Stegostoma tigrinum: one gene and its partners. The protein of the gene in region 1 interacts with the protein of each later gene in a pairwise test. Links are inferred from orthologs where the notes say so. Each region holds a gene or a part of one and is shown on either strand. Other genes may lie near its edges.

Region 1 (7,155 bases):
AATCACCGTAAACGTTTCCTATTCGTGTACCCGTCCAAATCCCTTTAATGTTGTACCTGTACCTGCTTCTACCCTGTACGTGAAAAGGGTGCTCCTCTGGTCCCTTTTACCCCTTCCTTTGTCAGTTCATACCATACACGAACTACCCTGTACGTGAAAAGGGTGCTCCTCTGGTCCCTTTTACCCCTTCCTTTGTCAGTTCATACCATACACGAACTACCCTGTACGTGAAAAGGGTGCTCCTCTGGTCCCTTTTACCCCTTCCTTTGTCAGTTCATACCATACACGAACTACCCTGTACGTGAAAAGGGTGCTCCTCTGGTCCCTTTTACCCCTTCCTTTGTCAGTTCATACCATACACGAACTACCCTGTATGTGAAAAGGGTGCTCCTCTGGTCCCTTTTACCACTTCCTTTGTCAGTTCATACCATACACGAACTACCCTGTACGTGAAAAGGGTGCTCCTCTGGTCCCTTTTACCACTTCCTTTGTCAGTTCATACCATACACGAACTACCCTGTACGTGAAAAGGGTGCTCCTCTGGTCCCTTTTAAATCCTTCCTTTGTCAGTTCATACCATACACGAACTACCCTGTACGTGAAAAGGGTGCTCCTCTGGTCCCTTTTACCACTTCCTTTGTCAGTTCATACCATACACGAACTACCCTGTACTTGAAAAGGGTGCTCCTCTGGTCCCTTTTAAATCCTTCCCCCCTCACCTGAAACCTATGCACTCTAGTTTTGAACTCCCCTATCCTAGGGAAAAGACGTTTGCTATTCACCTTATCTATGCCCTTCATGATTTTATAAATCTCTTTAACTTTACCCCACAGCCTCTGATGCTCCAGGGGAAACAGATCCCAGCTTACCTAGCGTCTCCTTGTGACTCAAACCCTGCAATCCTGGCAATATTCTTGTAAATCTTGTCAATTTAGTAACGTCTTTCCTATAGCAGGATGACCAAACAGTACTCCAAAAATTCACATTACCAACGTCCTGTGTAACGTCAAAAATGACATTCCAGTGCTCTGACCAGTGAAGGTAACTATGCCAAATGCCTTCTTCACCACCCTGTCTACCCATGATGCCACTTTCAAGGAACTATGAACCTGCACCCCTAGGTCTATCGGCCAACTGGCCCAGTATATCAAGATCCCGTTGTATTCTTTGATAACCTTCTTCACTGTCTGCTGGTGTCATCCGCAAACTAATAACCAGGCTTCAATATACTTATTCCAATTGTTTATATGAATGACAAAGTAATGTGTGTTTGGATTTAAAGGGGATATAGTTCAGGTCTGCACATTATTAATTAATAATTCAATTTGCCACTTTCTTCTGGGGATTTGATGATGTGGTGGACTAGTGATCCTGAACGTCAGACTAATGTCCTGAGGTTTGGGTAAATTCCCATCGTAGCAGATGCTGAAATTGGAATTCTACAAAAATTTGGAATTAAAAGCCAACCTCTTGGCAACTGTGTAGCCACTATCTAATGTAAAATCCCAGTTTTTTTTTCATATCAAATGGCAGAGCAGTCTTGAAAGACTGAATTGCCTACTCCTGCTCCTCATTCTTATGTTCTCATAATTGATCATTTTTGTTTCTTGTTTATTGCTGAAACCTGGTGTGAGTTTTTTAAACCTTAGGTAGTGGTAAGGTCAACTAAAGTAATTAGTGATTCAGTTGGTCGTCTTTACATTTGAAATGACCATTGGGATGTTGGGGCTTGATTTGTGGCACATCTTGCCAACAGGATCATGACATTTGAGACAGAGTGGATAGACAGAAATTGTATCCACTTGTGAAAGGAATGAAAATAAGAAGGCACAGGTTTAATGTAACTGGTAAGAAAAGCAACATCACTATGACAAAAAACTTTTCACCCAACAAAAGGTTACGGTCTGCAGTGCAGAGTCTGGTTGAGTCGAGGTATTCTCAAGGGAATTAGATCATTATCTGAAAAGGAAGAATATGCAGGGTTATGAGAAGATGGTAGCAAAATGGCATTAATTGAATTGATCACTTGAAGACCAGTACAAATATCATTGGCTGAGTGGCCTTCATGTGTGCCATAACATACATCTGTGACTCGGTGAGAGATAAATAGCGGCCAGGACATTCGAATAGCTCCTATACTGTTCAGAAATTTCAGAACATACTGGTGGATTTTCCCCACTAGTTCCTTACTCATGCCATTTCTACAGCATAAATCTCAACTTTTTCAGACCCTTTTGGTTCTGAGAAAAGTTTCATTCTGGACTCAAAACACTACTTTTGTTTCTTTTTGCGCATATGCTGCTAGGTCCACTCATTTTATCAATTACATTTTGTTTCTATCTGTGAATTTTTGTAGGATTGTAAAATTTTACCTTATTGTTTCATGAGATGAAGGCAGTGCATGAGAAGCCAGCATTTGTTGCCATTTGTGAGCCCATAAGATGTAGGAATGGAAGTAGGATATTCTTGCCATTCAATCTGCTCTGCCATTGAATGAGATCATGGCTGATATGATTGTTCCCAACTCCACCTTCCTGCCTTTGCCCCATAGCCCTCAAAGTCTGAGGTTTTTAATCAGTAAGGTATTAAGAGTCTTAATAACCCAACCTCGACAACTCTGTGGTATAGAATTCCACAGATTCACTGCCCTGAGAAAAGAAATTCCTTATCTCTCTCTCTTAACTATGCCGTCTCATCTTTTAAAACGATGATGTCTTCCTAAGTCTCTCCCAGAGAGGAGAAAACAACCTTTCAACACTTCTGTGCTGGAAGGAGTCCCCTAAGAATCTTGTATGCCTCAATAAAGTCAGCTTTCATTTTTCTATATTCCAGTGAGTACAGGCCCAATATACTCAACTTCTCCTTATAAGGCAATTCACCCATACTTGCTATCACACTACTCTGGACTGTCTCTGATGCTGTTATGTATTTCCTTAGATAAGGGCTCAAAACTTCACAGTATTTAGCCGTGGTCTGACTAGTGCCTTGTACACTTTTAGCAAGACTCCCTAATTTTATTCTCAATTCCTTTTGAAATAAAGGCCAACATTCCCTAATACCAACCGAACTTGGATGGTAGCTTTTTCCCATGGACTGAGCAGGGGGAGGGGTTTGCTTGACCATTTCAGAGGGCAAGTAAGAGTCAGACACATGTTAAAGTTTTGGGTCCAATGACCCTTCCTCAGAAACAATGCATCAGTATGTTCTGAAATTTCTGAACATCATGGGAGCTATCTGAATGGCCTGGCCATTATTTAATCTGTCAATGAGTCACAGATATGTCATGGCACATATGAAGGCCATTCACCCAGTGATGTTTATTACCGGTCTTCAATTGATCAATTCAAATAATGCCATTTTGCTACCTTCTCCCCATAACACCAGTTCTGAGGAAGGGTCACTGGACCAGAAACGTTCATTTGCTGCCATGCCTGCTGAGCTCTTCCAGCAATTTCTGTTCTGTTTCCTGATTTACAACATCCGCAGCTCTTTCCTTTTGTTTAAGAGTTAAACAAATGACTGACATGAAAGGGAAGGGAAGGGAAACAAGGTGGAATTAGATGCAGACTGACAATGATTTGAATAAGGCAGGTGTGAGAGGCTCAACCCTCCAGCTGTTCCCACGACGACAAGATGCAGCACGACCCCTTTAAGGGACACTGGGTTCGCACTAGAATCTCGCGAGATTACTGTTGGTCTGCGGCTCTGATTGGTGGAGGCGGGAAAACAGCGCTGGTTGGTGGAGGCTGGAGGTTGGTGCTGATTGGCGGGTGCCTAGCGGCGGCTCTGATTGGCGGAGGCGGGCTGGCTGTAAGATGGCGGCTTAGTGAGACTCCGAAGGAGGAGGAAAAGCAAAAAGGAGCCCGGGCCTCGGTGGGGGAAGCCGAGCCGCGTGCCTTCACGTCAGGTCACCCGCCCGTCTGGCCGGCTGGTACCTCCAGCGCTGCCACCTGAGGTAAGCAAGGAACCGGGCGGCTGGGCCCCGCCAAGTGAGGGGGCGAAAGAAAGAAAGGCGCGTCCCCCCCCACCCCGTTCAGGTAGCGCGCGCTCCCGCGGGTGGTTAGGGCCGTGCTCGCACCCGAGGCAGTGCGCGCTGACGTCAGGTCCCCGGCCGCGGGATCTGGGTTCGGGCCGACACCGAGGATCGAGCGGGGGCAAGGCCGCAGGCGTCGGCGGGCTGCAGGGAAGCGGACAGGCAGGCTCCAGAACGAACCGGGCCCAGGATGGTGAGAGCGGGGGATGGGAGGGAGCTGGGTGAGGGCCCGGGGAGTGCTTGGCCATCGGCTCCGGCAGCACTCAGCCGCCGAGGCTCCAGTGGCCTGCACGCCAGTAAGGTACGTTTGTGTAGCGCCGAATCGTAGAGAGATAGACGCAGCCGTCAGGGATCACTGATATTTATTACCATTCGCGCTGATCCCGCTCCTCATATTCCTCTGTTCATTCACTGTCCAAACATGAGTCTACCCCAGGCTTAAATATAGTCAACAATCAAGCCTCCACAATCCTCTGGGTTAGAGAACCCCACAAAGATTTAGAATCCTCTCAGTGAACTGAGTTTTTCCTTAACATAAAGGTTCAGAGTTAAGCAATTCATCTTATCAAATCTGTGCTATTATTTCACGAGTTTATAGCTTATCCTCAACTCCCTTTTTTAGCCTTTTCCCCAATACCCTCGATTCCTTTACTGATTGCAAATCTGTAAATTTCAGCCTTGAAAATAATGACCCAACTTCAACAGCTGTCTACAGTACAGTTCCACAGATACACTACTTCCCAGAAGAAGAAAGTCCTCATTTCTAATTTAAGTGGATGGCCTTTTATTCTGAGATAACACCCTCACATTAAAGGAAAAACGCTCCCTTTCTATGCTGTAAGGATCCCTCAAAATCTCATGTTCTCAAATAGTATCCTGTTCTTCCTTTAAATTCCAATGAGTCCAGGTCTAACCTATTCAACCTTTTCCTCTTTGGCCTAATGGTATTATCAGTAGATAACTAATCCAGAAAATTAGTTAATTTCCTGGTTCAAATCCCGTCACAGCAGATGGTGAAATTTGAATTCAATAAAATATCTGGAATTTAGAATCTACAGTCTAATGATGGCCATGAAATCGTAAACCCATCTGGCTCAATAATATACTTTGGGGAAGGAAATCTGCCATCTTCATGTGACTCCAGACCCACAGCAGTGTGGTTGAATCTCATATGCCTTCTGAAACGGCCTAGCCAGTCACTCAGTTCAAGGACAGCTAAGGATGTTGCCCATGTCCCACAAATAAATTTTAAGAAAAAAACCCTCCATACCCAGAGCTGCCTATATGTCTACCCTTGGGTCACAGGACCAAAACAGTTGTGGTCTGACTAATGCCTTTCATGGTTAAAGTAAACAATAGAGTATTTTTAATATTCTATTCCCCTTGAATTAGAGGCCAAGAATCCATATTACCTGTCGAGCTTATGTGTTAGCATTTTGTGATTTACGCACAAGGAGCATCAGCACCCTTTAGGTTAGAGAACTTCAAAAATAAATGCTTATAGACAGTATGCTGAATAATGTTCAGCTTTTCTATTCTTCCAGTTGAAGTGCATAACATTTCCCCATATGATATTCCATCTGCCAATTTTTTTGACTAATTATTTAACCTGTCCTTATCTCTGCAACATTTTGTCTTTCCTTTTTTGTGTTGATCGTAAACTTGGCTCCAGTACATTCACTTCCCCCATCAAAGTCATTAATGTATATTGTAAATAATTGTGGCCCTATCTCAGATCCATGTGCTTCAGTGGTTACAAGTTGCTATCCTTAAACTGCATCCCCCCATATCCCAACTTCCTGCCTTCTATTACTTGATCGATCCTGTATCTGTGCTAATGTACTACCCCAACACCACAGGCTCTTGTCTTAATAAGTAGCCATGCATGTGTTACCTTATCAGACACATTTGAAAATACAAATATATTATATTTACGTGTTCTCCTCTTATGTATCCTGTTTAAAGAAGTTGAATAAATGTGTCAGATGTGATATCCCCTTTGTGAAGCCTTGCAGACTGTGCTTGAACATATTTATTACCAAATGTTCTGTTATTACATTTTTTTAATAGACGCTCACATCTTCCCAATGATAGGTGTTGAGCTCTGATGGAGAATCATCTAGACTCAACATTAATTTTCTCTCTGCCTGGATGCTGCCTGACCCGCTATGATCTGCAGCATTTTTTGTTTTCAGCATAGATTCCAGCATCTGCAGTAATTTCTCCTGGATGTTAAGCTAATTGGCCTGTAGTTGTCTTTTTTGTTTTGCTGTCTCCCTTTTTGTACAAGGCTATTACATTGATAGTTTTCCATTCCTCTCGGACTTGTATAACCTATTGGAATTCTTGGAAGACTACTACCTTTAACCTAGAATGCATCCCATCAAGTCCAGGGGATTTAACTGCCTTTAGACTCATTGCTTTACCTAGTACTTTTTCTCTAGTGATTTATTTCCCCTGCACCCCTGATATTGTCCATTGATCATTTAGTATTTTTGGAATGCTGTTAGTGCTTTCTATCTTGAAGACTAATGTGGAATATTTTCTCAGTTTGTCTACTGTTTCCTTGATATTACTTTATAGTTTGCTCTCAATATTGCTTTTTCTTCTCTTTACCAATACTCTGGCTTACCACAAAAACATTGTGTTTTTTTCAATTTGGATTTGATACTGTCCTTAATACCATGGTCGATTTATCCCCTTCCTCACTGGGATGTACCTCTGCTGGTGAGTTGTGAATTATTTTGCTAAATGTCTGCCATTGTTTCTCAACCGTCTTTGTAGCTAATCTCCTTTCCCAGCCCACTCTAGACAACACAGTGCCCATTTATTTGAAATTACTCATAATTAAGTATGACAGTGTTGTTTCTGACCCAATTTTTGTCTCTCATTCCGAGTGCTGAATTCTACCATGTTATGGACATTGATCCTGGGGATCCTTTACTCTGAGATTATTTATACAGCCTGCCTCATTGCACATTACTGGGTTGAAAATAGCCTGATCCCTGGTTAGGTTTATAGAAACACAGAAGATAGGAGCAGGGACGAGGCCATTCAGCCCTTTGAGCCTGCTCCTCCGTTCTTCACAATCATGGCTGATCATCCAACTCAATAGCCTGTTC
Region 2 (7,630 bases), on another chromosome or scaffold:
GATTTTGTCCATGATTACGGACGGAAAACAGATTGTAGGAATAAATGGTTATTTTCAGATTGGTAAACTGTGACTGAGATCAGTGCTGGGCCTCCAATTGTTCACAATCCATATGAAGTACATTATATTTTTGGACAATATTTTCACATGATAATGCAGAACCAGGTGGAAATGAGGGTTGTAATAAGAATGTAAAGAAGCTACAGGGGAATTTAGACAGGTCAGTGAGAGGACAAGACAATACGTGGAAAAATCTGAAATGGTGCACTTTGATAAGAAAAACAGAAATGCAGAAATATTCTTAAGATGTGAGATATTGGGAATTGTTAATATACTCAGTCCGAATTGTGATAAAAGGCGTATGATATATGTTAGCATCATTTGTGGCTTGGATTTTAAAATGGAGGCAAATTTGGTCAGTCCTGTAAAGGTGGTTTTGTTAGAAAGGTTAGAAAGTCATTTGGAACATGAACCAAATGCATCATTTCTAAGTAAGCAAGTGACTTCAGTCAAGTGCCTGGCAGGGCACTTGTGGTGTTACTGTATGGAATGTTTATAATGCAGAGTTCACAAATAGACCAGAGGCCATTCATTTCACTTTTGATTTCTGTTCTGTTCAGAAGGGAGAACAATTTTCTTGCTGCAGGAGAATCAAGTTTTTCAATTCAGTTCAGGGGAGCCAGTCAACCTGAGGAAATGGTTTTTACTTTGTGGATCTTCCAAGCTGGGAGAGCTTGTTTAGAGGCCTTCAAGTTGTTAGAACTGAAACAGTCAGGCCATACGAATTGTGCAAGGTTTATGCCAACAGACTCAGAAAAAAATGGTCGAACATGTCCCAGCAGTCCAAAGAAAAGGATCTGAGAAGTTAGATTCTGTCATTAGATAACATCTGCGTGTTTGTGATCATACTTTCATGACCAACTACCATAGTAACCAACAGCAAAAATCATACACATGATCTATCAAGCCACAGTTCATTCTGATTTCTGGCTTGTCCTACATTACCATCAGCTGGGATCATAACAGAAATCACCAAAAGCTATTGTTCAGGTACAGAGAGTAATTAGAAAAGCAAATGGTATGATACCTTTTACAGCAAAAGAAATTTACTGCAGGAGGAATGATGTTTTGCTGCAACTATATAGGGCCTTAGTGAGAATGTACCTGGAGGATTGTGCACAATTTTGATCTTCTTCACGAAGAAATCTTACTTCCCTCTGAGGGAGTGGAATACTCATGAGACTGATCCCCTGAAGTGACTGAACGGTCTTATAAGAGATTGAGGAATTTGAGCCAAGGATCCCTTTAGTTAAGAAGAATGAGAGGTGATTTCATTAAGGCATACAAAATTGTCACTGAGGGTGATATGCAGGATGGATGGCTCCCATGGCTTGGTGTACAGAACTAAAAGGAGAGGCAAGTTATTTAGTACTGTGATTAGGAGGAATTTCTTAACTCAGAAGCTGATGAATCTTTGGAGTGATCTACCCCAAAGAGCTGTGTGGAGGCTCATTATTGAGTATATGCAAAATGGAGGTCAATAGATTTCTAGATATTAACAATATCAAGGGATATAGGGGAAATGCAGGAAAATAGCATTGAGGTAGATCAGCCATGATGGAGCAGGCTTGAGGGGCCAAATGATCTACTTCTGCTCCTATTTTCTATATTGCTACAACTCCTCCAATGCAGTCCTATGACAGTTATGAAGACGGAGAGGTGGCTGCCCTGTTGTCTTCATGTTGTAAGGCTGTAAGATTCATGAACAGGGTTAACAATGGAACCCAAGCCAATGTAAACATTTAAGAATGGGTTAAGTAGGCATGTCAAGAGGATTAAAGAAATATATGAGCATTAGCCATTTCAAAAGAAATAGGGAGAGAGGTAAAAGACATGGGGGGCTGCATTGCTAATCAGGGATGGTATCACAGCTGCAAAAAGACAGGTAATTGAGGAGGGGTTGTCTACTGAGTCAGTATGGGTGTAAGTCAGAAACTGGAAAAGAGCGGTCATTTTTTGGGAGTTTTCCATAGACCCCCCAATAAAACAGAGGCATGGAGGAACAGATTGGGAGGCAGATTTTGGAAAGGTGCAGAAGTAATGGGGTTGTTGTCATGGATAACTTCAACTTCCCTAATATCGACTGGATCCTCTTAAGTGCAAATAGTTTAGATGGAGCAGATTTTGTCAGGTGTGTCCAGGAAGGATTTCTGACCCTATATGTAGATAGGCCAACTATAGGGGAGGCCATGTTGGATTTGGTGCTTTGTAATGAACCAGGCCAAGTGTCAGATCTCTCTGTGGGAGAGCATTTTGGTGACAGTGATCACAACTCCCTGACTTAACTATAATCATGGAGAGGGATAGGAGCAGACGGTATGTGAAAGTATTTAATTGGTGGAGTGGGAATTACAATGCGCTTAGGCAAGAACTGCGGAGCATAAATTGGGAACAGATATTCTCAGGGAACTGCATGACAGAAGTGGGGAGGTTGTTTAGGGAGCACTTGTTACAAGTTCTGGATAGGTTTGGCCCACTGAGGCAAGGAGGGGATGGTAAGGTGAAGGAACCTTGGATGACAAGACATTTGGAGCATCTAGTCAAGAGGAAGAAGGAAGCTTACTTAAGGTTGAGGAAGCTACGATCGGACAGGGCTCTAGAGGGCTACAAGGTAGCCAGGAAGGAACTGCAGAATGGACTTAGGAGAGCTACAAGGGGGTCTGAAAAAGCCGTGGCAAGTAGGTTTAAGGAAAACCCCAAGACATTCTATACTTAAGTGAAGAACAAGAGGGAGGTAAAAGAGATGGGGGACTGGCATTGTTAATCAGGGATGGTATCACAGCTTCAGAAAGGGAGGTCGTTGAGGAGGGTTTGTCAGACAATTTTTGGCAATGTTTGACATGTTTGTCAGAAGGTCAGAGTGAGGGTAGGGCCGATCAGGGATAGTGGAGGGAACTTGTGTGCAGAGTTGGAGGAGGTAAGGGAGGTCCTTAATGAATACTTTGCTTCAGTATTCACCAGTGAGAGGGACCTTGACATGTGTGAGGACGGCATGAAACAGGTTGATATGCTCAAGCAAGTTGATGTTAAGAAGGAGGATGTGCTAGAAATTTTGAAAAACATGAGGATAGGTAAGTCCCCTGTGCCAGATGGGATATACCCAAGGTTGCTACAGGAAGCGAGGGAAGATATTACTGCACCTTTGCACCTTTGGTGATGATCTTTGCATCCCCATTGTCCACTGGAGTAGTACCAGATGGTTGGAGGGTGGCAAATATTATTCCTTTGTTCAAGAAAGGGAATAGGGATAATCCTAGGAATTGCAATCAGTCTACAGTGTGGGCAAATTATTGGACAGGATTCTGAGAAATAGTATTTATGTTTATTTGGAAAAGCATAGTTTGATTGGAAATAGTAAGCATGGCTTTGTGAGAGGCAGGTCATGCCTCACAAGCCTTGTTGAATTCTTTGAGGATGTGACAAAACACATTGATGAAGATCAAGCAGTGGATGTGGTGTATATGGATTTTAGCAAGGCATTTCATAAGGTTCCCCATGGTAGGCTCATTCAGAAAGTAAGGAGGCATGGGATACAGGGAAATTTGGCTGTCTGGATACAGAGTTGGCTGTCCAATAGAAGATAGAGCACAGTAGTAGATGGAAAGTATTCAGCCTGGAGCTCGGTGACAAGTGATGTTCCACAGGGGCCTGTTCTGGGACCTCTGCTCTTTGTGATCCTTATAAATAACTTGGACAAGGAGGTGGAAGGGTGGGTTAGTAAGTTTGCCGATGACACAAAAGTTGGTGGAGTCGCGGATAGCACGGAGGGCTGTTGTACGTTGCAATGGGATGTTGTCAAGATGTAGAGCTGGGCAAAGAAGTGGCAGACGGAATTCAACTCAGAGAAGTGTGAAGTGATTCATTTTGGAAGGTTGAATTTGAATGCAGAATACAAGGTTTAATGGCAGTGGTGGGCGTGTGGAATGTGCTGCCAGCAGTGGTAGTGAAGTTACATACGTTAGGGATATTCAAACAATATGACATGGATGATAGTAAAATGTAGGGTATGCAGAGTAGTTTGATCTTAGAGTAGGGTAATAGGTCAGCACAACATCATGGACCGAAGGGCCTGTACTGTGCTGTACTATGTTCTATATTGCATCAGGGTTAATCCATTTGGATGGTCAACACCTGAATAACTTGTTACAGTTTCCTTTTATTAACATTCCTCCATTGGCCATCATACAGAAGACATGAAATCACTACTTCCTGGAGGCAAAGAAAATCTGTGGAGCCACAGAACAAAGCATGCTTTTGAAAGTCATCCCCACCCCCCCCCCCCCCCCCCCCACCGTATGTGAAGTGCTGTGAGACATTTCTGAGCAATTGATGAAACATGAGTGAATGCGAATCTCCGGCCCTTGCTCATTTTTTGTCCACAGAAAAGCAGGACCAGTTCTGGATTGAGATAATTGGTGACCCTAGAGACGGGCTTTCCTTGTGATCTAATCGTCGACCTGTGAGCATTGAGCAAGGTTGGGAACGTTTGCTGTCATCTCTTGCTCGTCTGTCGCCTTGTACTTTTCTGGGAGTTTGAACAGAAAGGGCGCAGCTCCCTAACTCTGGAGTGGAGCGGCAGATACGTCGTTGCACAACTTTATATGAACTCACTCCTTAAGGTTCCCAGGCACCTTGAGAAATATTGAGGGGAATGGAGACGGGTGTAATGTTTATGAATCAGTTACATAGCCAGGCAGCCAGCACTCGGGGCTAGTAAACAAGGATGACTCGGAGTTGCTTTAAATAGGCTGTGAGGAGGCAGGACTGAACTCCTCTGCTACTCGGGCTATGGCTAAACTTGGTCAGCTCACGTAAGAGGGGCCTGATCCTCTCTAGGGGCACGTCAGATTCCTTTCAATTGCTCATAGATCAGATTAAACAGATGACAACTGGCGATCGCCTCAGCTCCAGCAAACAAGAAGAAGTATAAAGCCCGGGGCGCACGACAGGGAGAGGGTCAGAGGAGACTTTCTGGAGGGTCTAGGCAGAAGCAGCGATGGCTGAGAGTCAGGTCCCATTTTCCTGCCAGATGCCTGGGAGACACAGGAGTAGCAGGGACCCTTTCCGAGAGCCGGCCTTATCTTCTCGCTTCCTGGACGATGAGTTCGGCATGCCAACTTTTTCCGAGCACTTCACGGCCGACTGGCCGGACTGGGCGAGACCCAGGCTCACCTCCACTTGGCCGGGGCCCCTGAGATCTTCCTTTAACGGGGCGGCTCGGGACTCTGCGGGTATCTACGGTCCGGCGCCTCCTCATTACACGGCTCGTTACACCGGCTACCCCGAGGCCAAGAACCCGCCCAGCATCAACCCGGGGGAACCCTGGAAGGTGTGCGTTAACGTGAAGAGCTTCGCCCCCGAGGAGCTGACCATCAAAACCAAAGATGGGTTCGTGGAGATCTCAGGTAGGCCGGGGTGGCGGGGGGGGGGGGGTGGAATAGCGGGTGCTGAGGGAATTTTGTACCGAAGGTCGCAGAGAGCTGAGTGAAGGTCAGTCAGAGGGACAGTTCTGTCTTGTGTAGGGGCCCTCTCACCCCTCAAACCACTTCACTTAAGGAGGCGAGGGTGCATCAGAGCCTATAGAGTGAGGAGGAAGGGGGTGCGATATAAATAAAAATAAATCAACTATAATTCCATCATTTCTCACCTCTGCAAAAAAAAACTTGTCGAGTCTTGTTATGCAAATCATGGGGGAGAACCGAGAATGTTGGACAAACAAATTTCAGATTCAAATTCCAATCGTAGATTTCTATCAGTTTGTCGAGTGTACGGGGCTCTGAAATAGATCGAAATATATCCGTTGAAATTATTTAATACCTCGCCTCTCCACCAAGACTTACTGAGTCCTGTCATTATAAAACGTGGTGCGGGGAGGAAGCGGGGGGTTGGTATTGTTGGACAAATTCATAGTATCAAAGACTCAAATTCGAATCATAGATTTTTTGATTCCCTGAGTTGATCCAACGTTTGGTGTGTGCGTGTGTGTGAGACCCACTCTCATGTTTTGTGTAACAGGACAGCATGTTTTATTGAAGTTAATTCCATGGTCTCAACATGTACGAAATTGTCCAAAAGGATTTTGTTTTTCTCACTGGGGTATTTTGGGTTTTGAATAAATTTAAACCAGGAGACTAGACCATGTTAAAATAGCCGTTTTTGATGCTGATGCGGACTGTTCTATAGTTGTTTTGCGGAAAACACAGGATTATGGTGATTTCAGGTGAAAATTACTAATGTAATTGCTTTTAAGAGATGTGCGTATTGCTAATAGAAGTCCACACTGAAAAAGTGGCTGATGGTTTCGAAGCTGAATTATTTGGATTGAGGTATGAATCCTGTTCCAGGATTCAGGGACTACAGATAAGCAACAGTTTTAGACCTTAAGAGACATTACAAAGACTATGTAGGAGAGACACAGTTCGCTAATTGACAATACAGTCCACTGCGAATGAACAAGACGCTGGCAAATCTGAAATTCTCGATCTTGAACAAGTTCCTGTCTGAGGCAAATCAAATGTAAGATATTGTGCCGTTTGATTTTTTTTTCCCCTGACCTTTCCCCTTTGCATCGTTCTAGGAAAACACGAAGAAAAACAAGAAGAAGGAGGAATCGTTTCGAAAAACTTCACCAAAAAAATCCAGTAAGTAGTAGAAGGGATAGACTAACAGAAGGGGAAATGTATGCGAATGTTAAAAGAAGCTGTTTAATTAGCTCGGGGAAGTGTTCGTAGCTTTCATATTTTTTGAAGTACGCAACTTTAATGTTCACTCGTGGGTCTTACGGTATAAAACTTGGCGATGCCAAGAAACAGAGCTCATAAACTTGTGGGGGATTCCTTGCTTGCTGGAGGAAAGGCGAACTCCTTATTTGGTGATAGAATCGCTCTGACTTTAACAATAGGTTTTCACGGTGCCCCACAGCGGAACGGAAACCAGACTCTCGAGTTTGTGTCAAAACTGGACGATCATGCAGTTTTTTTGCACTCGCCCCTTCCCCATCTGTTTGACTGCCGTTGTCAAAGTGCTGCTGGGGGACCGAGGGTGCTAGTCAGGGGGCTTAAAGATCGCTGTCTAGTCCCCAGCTCCTCTTCTGGTCGACAATGCTAATGATTCCCGCATCCATCTTGGCACTTAAGGCTGGGCTGAAATTTTATTTGATGGTACGTAATTCAACTATTCACTACTTCAGATGGAAACGTTATCCAGTTTATTGTAAAGATACTGATGCCTTTGGTAAAATGGCAACAGAGCTAATGTGAACACAAAAAAATGCAGTTACTTTACATGGTAAAGCTTTTGAGTCAAAGGTAAAAGTACAGTGCTACTCGACCGTGGGGCGGATCTATACCCTTAGAGAAAGAAAGACAAGTAGTGGTCGTTTAACCTGAGAGTCACTACGACCTAAGCGAGGGGACAAATTGAGAAGGAGAATCTTCACGGTAAGATCAGCTGGTTCAGAAATGATGCTGATTCCGTCACTCTGCATTGCAAAATAGCTGGCCTGACAATCCAGCTGACCAATCGCCAAAGTTTAAGATAATGAGGTAACGAAATAAAAACGAGAATTGCT
Region 3 (7,668 bases), on another chromosome or scaffold:
TTTGAGCAGAGAGCAAATGATAACTTTAGATATGGGTAGTGGGGTGAGATGTGGTGCTTGTTGTTGGCTGGACAACGGTAGTGGCTGGAGAAATGAAGCAATCGTGGAAAAGAGCTTTACTCGGTTCCTCACACTTCTGGAGGTCCTGTATTAATCGTCGTTAACATTCATTTTTAACAATTTTTGGAAAGCGAGTGTGTGCTTACTTGAGAAAACTAAGAATATGCTCCAAATTGTGGTCATATTCGATTTTATACTGTTGAAAATAGTGAAACAAAACAGACTTATTTCAAATTACGTTGATGCAAATACTTTATTGTTAGATCGACTGAGATGAAAAAATCTGCAAGCACCTAGAAACCACAGGATTACAGGGTTAAAATATTTTCTAATCAAACTAAAGCGTTAATGCAGAAAGGTTATTATTACAAGTGAACCCCGTGTACTACATTCAAAACAAAGCCTCGAAGCAGTGAGTTTTTTAAAAAAGTTAAATAATAATTATGTAGTGAATAAAAACGAGGTTAAACATGATCTCAAATATTCATGAAAACACATTTGCAGAACATTTTGTAAGAACAAAATCGCATAATTCATGAATTAAAAAGGTCTTTTAACGCATTTAAATACAGCATCAAACAGTTTGTAACCAAACTCCAGTACATTGAGTTAAGGAGTATCAAACAGATCGGCATTTTAATTCTAAACCCACGTAGAATGCAGATTTTCTTTATTAATGCGTAAAATTAATATTAGCTACTGATATCACGGACACAGCTTTTAGAAAATAAAAACAGCCCAAAATCAATTTCTTCCGACAATTCAGTTTCCAATTTAAAAAGTGGAATTTAGAAATCAATGTAAAATGTACTTGGCACCACAATTTGAAATGTTTCTTTTTCGAATTCCGTGTTAGAGTTTGCACAGGAACACTGAGATTTAGATTGATTTGATAGTAATCAATAAGTTGTACAAATAGTGAGGAGTTCAACAAGTTAAAAGCAGTTTAATTATCATACAAATTGGAATAAAGAAGCAATTTAGAGTTTTAGAAATCTCGTGATAGCAGAATAGTTCGGATAGTCTTTGGCTCATTTCATTGCAGCCTTCTTGAATATACACAATGTGTGTGTATACCTGTGGGTGTGTATGTTCATCTATATGTGTGTATCTGCGCGTCTGTATGGCGTGTGTGCATGTCTGTGTATGTATGTTTCCGTGTGAGTATCTGTGTGTTTGTGTCTTTGCATCTCTGTGAGTATCTGTGTTGTGTGTGTGTGTATGTGTGCCTATCTGTGTCTGAGTATGTGTGTATCTCTGTGCGTGCACACATTTTTTGTGTTTCTGTTCGTGTGTTTTTGTGTCTTTGTTTTTCTGTTTGTGTATTTCTGTTCCTTTGAGTATGGAATTTGTTTGAGTATGGAATTAGTATAACGGCGGGTAAAGTGAAATACAAACGCTTAACAAAATTAGCATTTCAATACATTTTTAAAATGCTTTAACCTAAATTTGGAATCTGTTTCGGATCCCTACATTGTTCGAGCTCTAATTCTGTTGCGTAGTAAAGTTCATATGAATAAATTATTACTAATAAGCAAAACGAAAATTGCAAATGCTGCATTTAATTAAATTGAAGACGTGTCTAGGCAATTTAACGAGCTATCAGCTGGGTAGATTTGATGTAGAGAGAGAATCAGCTGTGAAAGTACCTGAACTAAATACTTCGGGAAGCGTTTCAATTATAACATGTTTTATTATTGAAAGATGCGGAGTTCGAAATTGGACATTCACCCAAACGAAAGATGTACCTGTATGTCAGCCTGTCCAGAGCGTTTTGTAACATTGTCTCAAATCAGTTTTGAGCGCCGTGCATAACTGAAACAATGGAAGTTTGGATAGTCTATCTTGGCTTTCTCACCAACACCATCTCACCACAATTTTTTCACCACTACCACTTTCCCGTCCATCTCCAAACGCCTTCGCCCAAAACCCTGCCAGGCGCTTTCCAAAAAGATTCTTTCCGACAGTTCCTTACAAGCAGAGGAAACAGAACTCGGGGGAAAAAATATGACTTGAAGCAAAAATTTAAATAAAAATCCACGCCGGCACAAGATTATTTGATGGCGAGATTGGAAGCCAGTTGCGAAGTCTACAAAATGAATCCATGACCATTTCTTTATCTGCAATTGATTGCCTGCAGCGATTGAAAACTTGTGTGGAGCTGAAAGGGTTAAAGGGTTTGAAACTTGTGCGGAAGCTGTTGACTCCTTATCACAACCCCTGCACGTTATTCCTTAAATTATCGATCCGGGATCTAGTGTCGTGAATTTCCACTTCGTTCAGTCAAAGGTAGTAATTTCCCCTTGTATAGGAGCCGTTTTGCAGTGGGTCAGTATCGCACCGGCTGTTCTGTCTTGCAGTCTCACTGAAAACTTTGTCTCTCCCTGTTTATACACCTTGCTGCGATTTTTAATTTGTCGTGATTACAGGATATAGGTACCCATCAAATGTAATTGAATTTATTCTCTTCTACTTTATGAAAAATGCCTAGCGAGAGTTCGAGGCAAAAGTTACATTCAGTCAATAAGGGAAGCCATTTGAAAACTAGATTTTTTTTCTCTTTCTCCCTCTCACTAAGGTGCATGGAATGGGGGTGGGGGATGGCAGAGTGTAGGGGGTAGTCTGTTTCACTCGAGAGAATTATATGGAGATGGTCACGCTTTCAAAACCTACCCCCCAATACAACCTAACCGACAATACAGTGATTCCTGAGGTAAACCCCAAAAGTGCAGAGATCTCAGACAATATTTCTACCAGCGCGTAGTAAAAAAAAAGCAAAAATACCAGCTCGTGATTCTTCGTGGGCGTTTCATTTTTCAAAAAAAAACAAAATGTTTTCTTATCTGTTAAAACGCCGTTGTTATTTTATCTTGAAAGAAACGGCAGTCGCCTCTTTCTTCACCTCTATTAATTAGCAGGACGTAATTACTAATGTGATTTGACTGCGTTATTGCTGTTGTTTTATCTGAGGTGAAATACTGGCCAGTGAATCCCATTTATGGAACACTCTTGGTGTTTCTGTGTCTTCGCCCCTTTTACTTCGAACCGATTTATTTGCCTTTGTACCAGCGGCGCTCGGGCGTATTCGGGGAACGCTGCAGCGCCGATAGAATCGTCATTTTCACACATGCTTGTCAGATATATTCCCAGATGTTGCAGTTTCCCTCTTCCTACACAGTCCTCATTTGCCCTGTCTGCAGACCTCGCTGTATATTTGGACGCAATCGGGTTGGGCTGAAGGAGAAATTAGTGGATACCTATTGTAATGCACCGGGACACAGAAGTTGTGGAAGGCTGCAACTTTGAGGAATTAAATCCCATTGCAGAAATCGCACCGGGCCCATTTCGGTGATACTCCTTGAATAAATTCTATTGGGAGACAATTTGCAGCCAGCCTAATTCCGAATGTGTATCACTAAAAAAAACACAGCTGTTTACAGTAACAGTAAACTCTTGAGTTTTAACAAGCGCTAAAAACAGATTTGTTTTAGCAGGGGCGTTCTTTTTTTTCTAACATTTGCAATTAGTTAAAAGCCAGACATTTCGAAGTTCCAGGTTACTTGTGGAAGTTCAAATGCTACCCACAACAGAAACATCACTCGACAATTTGTTTTGAAAGCCAGGAGAGGGTAGTGAAGGAGGTTTGGGATGAACTGCAAGCATAATATCCAACAATTGCTGAGGCTGTAGTGTTAAACTGAAGTCAACCCGGAAAGTTCAGGGCTCTTACTTTAAATCGATTTATTTTGAAGTCCGCTATTGGTTTTATGCGCGCGCACACACACACGTAGACAAACTGGTTTCACTCAATCATTCTACGAGGAAAAATTGGAACTAATTTACACCTCTCCTCCCTTCTAGAGGACTGACACTACTAACTTTGTAATTGGGTGGTGGTCATAGCGGCGGGGGTGTACTTTTAGAGAAACGTTTTAAGTTTTGGAAATCGATTCCTACTGCTGGAAATAACATATTTGAGTTGGATAGTCTGGTATCTATGAGGCTCAAGTTGTTCCGTAACGTTCGCTGCTAACAAGTTGCCCTTCCATTGTCTCCTGCAACACTTCGCGCCGACCGTTTTCTCTCCCTCTACTTGAAAAAGAAACAGCTCGTCATTTAGCAAATGTGTCGGCGCTTTTTGCAAATTAAAAATATCTACACACTTCAATTACTTTTACGCACTGTTTGCGAAAATTCTCCTGTTTTAGTTTTTTTTCCTGTTTAAATTAACACCCCCCCCCCCCGCCCGTCATCACGATGTCCCGTCGCTGGTTCTACTCGGAGATCGTATGAGACTGAATGTACTCGCACTTATTGTCAGTAACTTTCCCTCTGCGCCGATGCCTCTTTAAAACAAGCCCCAGTTCATGGCTCTTCACTCTGTAATTCTGCTCAAAAACACACACACAGGGACACACACAGACACAGCAGCTGCTCTCCCAGCGCTTACAGGCCAGATGCAAAACAAAACACACACACACACACACATACAAAAAGTTATTAAACAAATCACGGCTCAACTCCGAGATCTGAGCGGTTAGTTAGTTAGTTAGTGATGGAAGTGGGACTTATCGGCTCTCTCTCAAAAGCCTCTCACTCTCTCCTCTGCAGTATTTGGAGAGATTTCTGTTCTCAGCACTCAGACTGCTCTTCCTGACAATTCTCTGAGGCGGGAAGGCCGCGCAATCACAATGCTGCAGAGGTTAGAATAACTTTTTCTATAAAGAAAAAAATAAAGTTTCACCGAAGCCGCGAAGGAAAAGGTATAACTTTAACCTGGGAAAACCGATCCCGGTAAAGTCTAAACAGAAAGGAAAATACAGTGAAATGCATAGAGAAAAGGAAAACCTTTATGTGTCGGACTATTCGAAGGCAACTTTTGACTGAAATAATCTTTCTTTCTCTTTCTCAATCGCTCACTCGATGGTTTGGGACCGGCGCACTTTATTAGACATGGACTTGCCTCTCGGACTAGGGAGTTTCCTGGATCTGCGGCTTGCAGTGGAAGTGATACAGTGATTTCTGGCAAATTTCCCCACACCACAATGGTACGTGTTGTGTGAATCGGGAATTCTCTTTCTCTCTTTCAATACTTTCTGAGCAGACATTTTTTGAAAGAATAACAAAAGTGCGATAGAAAGTGGAATTGTAAGCTCAGTTCAATACGCAGGCTAACATCTGAAACGTTTAAAGCAAGCACAAGCGTTATATTTACGAGGTTTTGAATTTTGGGTGTTGAGAAAGGATTTTTTTCCCGCTGTCTGGTTCCTTAAACCTCGTGAAAGAGGAAGAGAAAGTGGCGGTGATGGTCGTGTGAATGCGTGTGTTTTTTTTGACCTGGGGTTTCTAATTTGTTGTTAAACCCCTGCCTTTATTCTATCTGCTATAGTGTGAAATACTGCATATTCTTCTGAACCAGGCTAATTCTCTTAACCGCGACCCACAATTTTAGGTGCATTTTGAGTACCTTTTCCCCTGTGATTTGCAAATATTGGCGTGTAAATATTGCAGGAATTCGCCTTCCTATCACTTTTAAACTGACCTTTTTGTGGAAAATAGCAAAATTCTGGGTTGATAACGATTGAGAATGTCTTAAGATTCGGCCTATGTGTTAATACTTCAGTCCTTATTTCTCCAAACCCGAGAATGTGAATGAACCTCCCTTTAATCTCCATCAGCAGACCATATAGAGCTATTTCACAAACAGACCGTGGGTTCCTGTTGTGAGATTAATTTAGGTCAGTTTCATTCTATAGTAAATCAGATGACATGAGCAATTTTTGAGCAATTTATCCGGATTTTTCTTTGTAATGTCCCGTATCTATTTTAAAGTGTGCCTTTCTTTGCGCCTGTCGCTCGTGCACAATATTCTGTAATCACTAGAGCAGCCTCGTTTATTAGCAGCCTGCCTGTGTGGTGCGTTTTCTTTTGTATATTTCACTTCGAGTGACCCGTGTGACTATCTGGGTAAGAGTAATTCGCTTTGTTGCATCCGGACTTTTAGCGATAGGTGGAAAGGTGCGCAAGTCTGGTCAGCTGTGTATTTTTGCAAGAACTGTTTTCTCACGGGGGTGGGGGGGCGGGGTGTGGGGTGGGGCTGGGGTGTGTAGAAATTGCCCAGAAAAGTTTGACAGTTTGTGGTTCTGTCAGAGAGGGGAGGTATATATTAAAAAAAACAAATATAATCCACTAGCCGTAAAACACTCAAATTAAAAATTCTAGCCTGAAACTTCTACAATCAGTTTCCTAATCGATTAGTACCTGAAGCAATTTCACCGAGGTCGCATTGTTATGCCGGCAGCATTAATTGGAAAAGAAGGACAAAAATAAAATACAACTGAGGCAGTCTTGCAGGCCTTTGTGACTGAGTTTGACACAGAGTAGCCTGATAAGCCATTTTGTAAAGATCTGCCTTGGTTGTAGCTGGTGTGTGTGATTTATAGACTGTAATTTACCCGTTAATTCGTTTTACATTTGTTTACTGATTCCGATCGTTGGCAATTTAGCGTTTTATTTTACCCCTACTTGTCTCTTAGTGTAAACAGTCAATTGTTTTGAACTGTGGAGAAATATAACAAAAGCTTTTTAATTTTTTTGCCCTCTCAGTAATCCAAACAGGAACGCACACTTTCTGATGGAGATTTCAATCAGTTGCAGGCCTGCAGTTTAAGTGTGGCTGGCAGATCAAAAGAGAGGGCTGCGTGATTGGCGAGGTGGCACATTGTGCGAATGCTTTCTGTAGCTTTACGCCGCGAATAATTGAAGTTTCGCCGACGTTAAATAGTTGTTTCTATTTGTAAATCAGCTGCCTGGAATGAGCCGCTTCTCCTTCTAACCCACCAGTCGAACTGAAGGGCTGCAATTCAGACGCAAGCGCTCTAGTGTAACTGTTTTGGGGAAGAATTCACAAAAAACGGAGGCCGGGTTAACCTGTAGAAGGTGGTTGACCCCATCCCAGCCTCTCCTGTTCGCAGGGGAAAGGGCAGGACGACGAAAGAACATGTTGTGCAGCGTACAATTCCAGTATTACAGAAGTTTATATTGTACCGAGTGCTTAGTAAAACCAAGGGAGCAGGAACAGTTGGGTCATTTTGCAGAAGGAAATTATTTAATTCTATTTAATGAATTTACAGATAACTTGTAAGTCAAAAAGGGAGGGTTGGGGTTGTGATGGAGGGAAGAGATTGTTTAAATATCCCCACTGATTAACTTGGTGAAAATTGATTTATTTCTGCAGTTTTAATACGTGGGAGGTAGATTTGAATCGTGCATACTTGCTGAAACTCATACACAGCGTGGTGCATTACAGATGACAGATATGGCTCATTGTTAACTGACTAATTCCGTTGCTGTCATAGATTTCATACCACAACAGCAATATCACTGGCTCATTTATTTCAGTGTTGAATTACTGGACAGAGCAGTTTAAAATTAAATTGAAAGAAATTGATATTCCAATTTTGGATTTTTTGCAGCAAGAGCTGACTGGTATGGAGAATTTTAGTTGGAGTTCTGTGGCAATAGTATTTTTTTCATTTTTTGTTCCTACATTTGAGAAGATGGTGTTGATGAAGAGATTTGATAAGGTGTTCAAAATCGTGAATGGTC

What was found. The genes of interacting proteins can lie anywhere in the genome.
Region 2: the proteins of transcriptional regulator QRICH1-like (region 1) and hspb8 interact in binary tests that used the Homo sapiens proteins (3 or more experiments, as listed by UniProt). The two-hybrid records come from large-scale screens. The link is inferred for Stegostoma tigrinum from reciprocal best matches to the Homo sapiens genes QRICH1 and HSPB8.
Region 3: the proteins of transcriptional regulator QRICH1-like (region 1) and nfixb interact in binary tests that used the Homo sapiens proteins (3 or more experiments, as listed by UniProt). The two-hybrid records come from large-scale screens. The link is inferred for Stegostoma tigrinum from reciprocal best matches to the Homo sapiens genes QRICH1 and NFIX.

The regions. Positions count from the first base shown.
Region 1 is NC_081364.1:993,648-1,000,802, reverse strand, and holds the start of transcriptional regulator QRICH1-like, read left to right. Parts: upstream 1-4,103; 5' UTR 4,104-4,223; coding exon 4,224-4,226; intron 4,227-7,155. UniProt on the Homo sapiens protein: Transcriptional regulator that acts as a mediator of the integrated stress response (ISR) through transcriptional control of protein homeostasis under conditions of ER stress.
Region 2 is NC_081379.1:36,596,603-36,604,232, forward strand, and holds the start of hspb8 (heat shock protein beta-8), read left to right. Parts: upstream 1-4,591; 5' UTR 4,592-5,056; coding exon 5,057-5,465; intron 5,466-6,637; coding exon 6,638-6,701; intron 6,702-7,630. UniProt on the Homo sapiens protein: Involved in the chaperone-assisted selective autophagy (CASA), a crucial process for protein quality control, particularly in mechanical strained cells and tissues such as muscle. Displays temperature-dependent chaperone activity.
Region 3 is NC_081388.1:16,189,666-16,197,333, reverse strand, and holds the start of nfixb (nuclear factor I/Xb), read left to right. Parts: upstream 1-4,629; 5' UTR 4,630-4,751; coding exon 4,752-4,762; intron 4,763-5,011; coding exon 5,012-5,108; intron 5,109-7,668.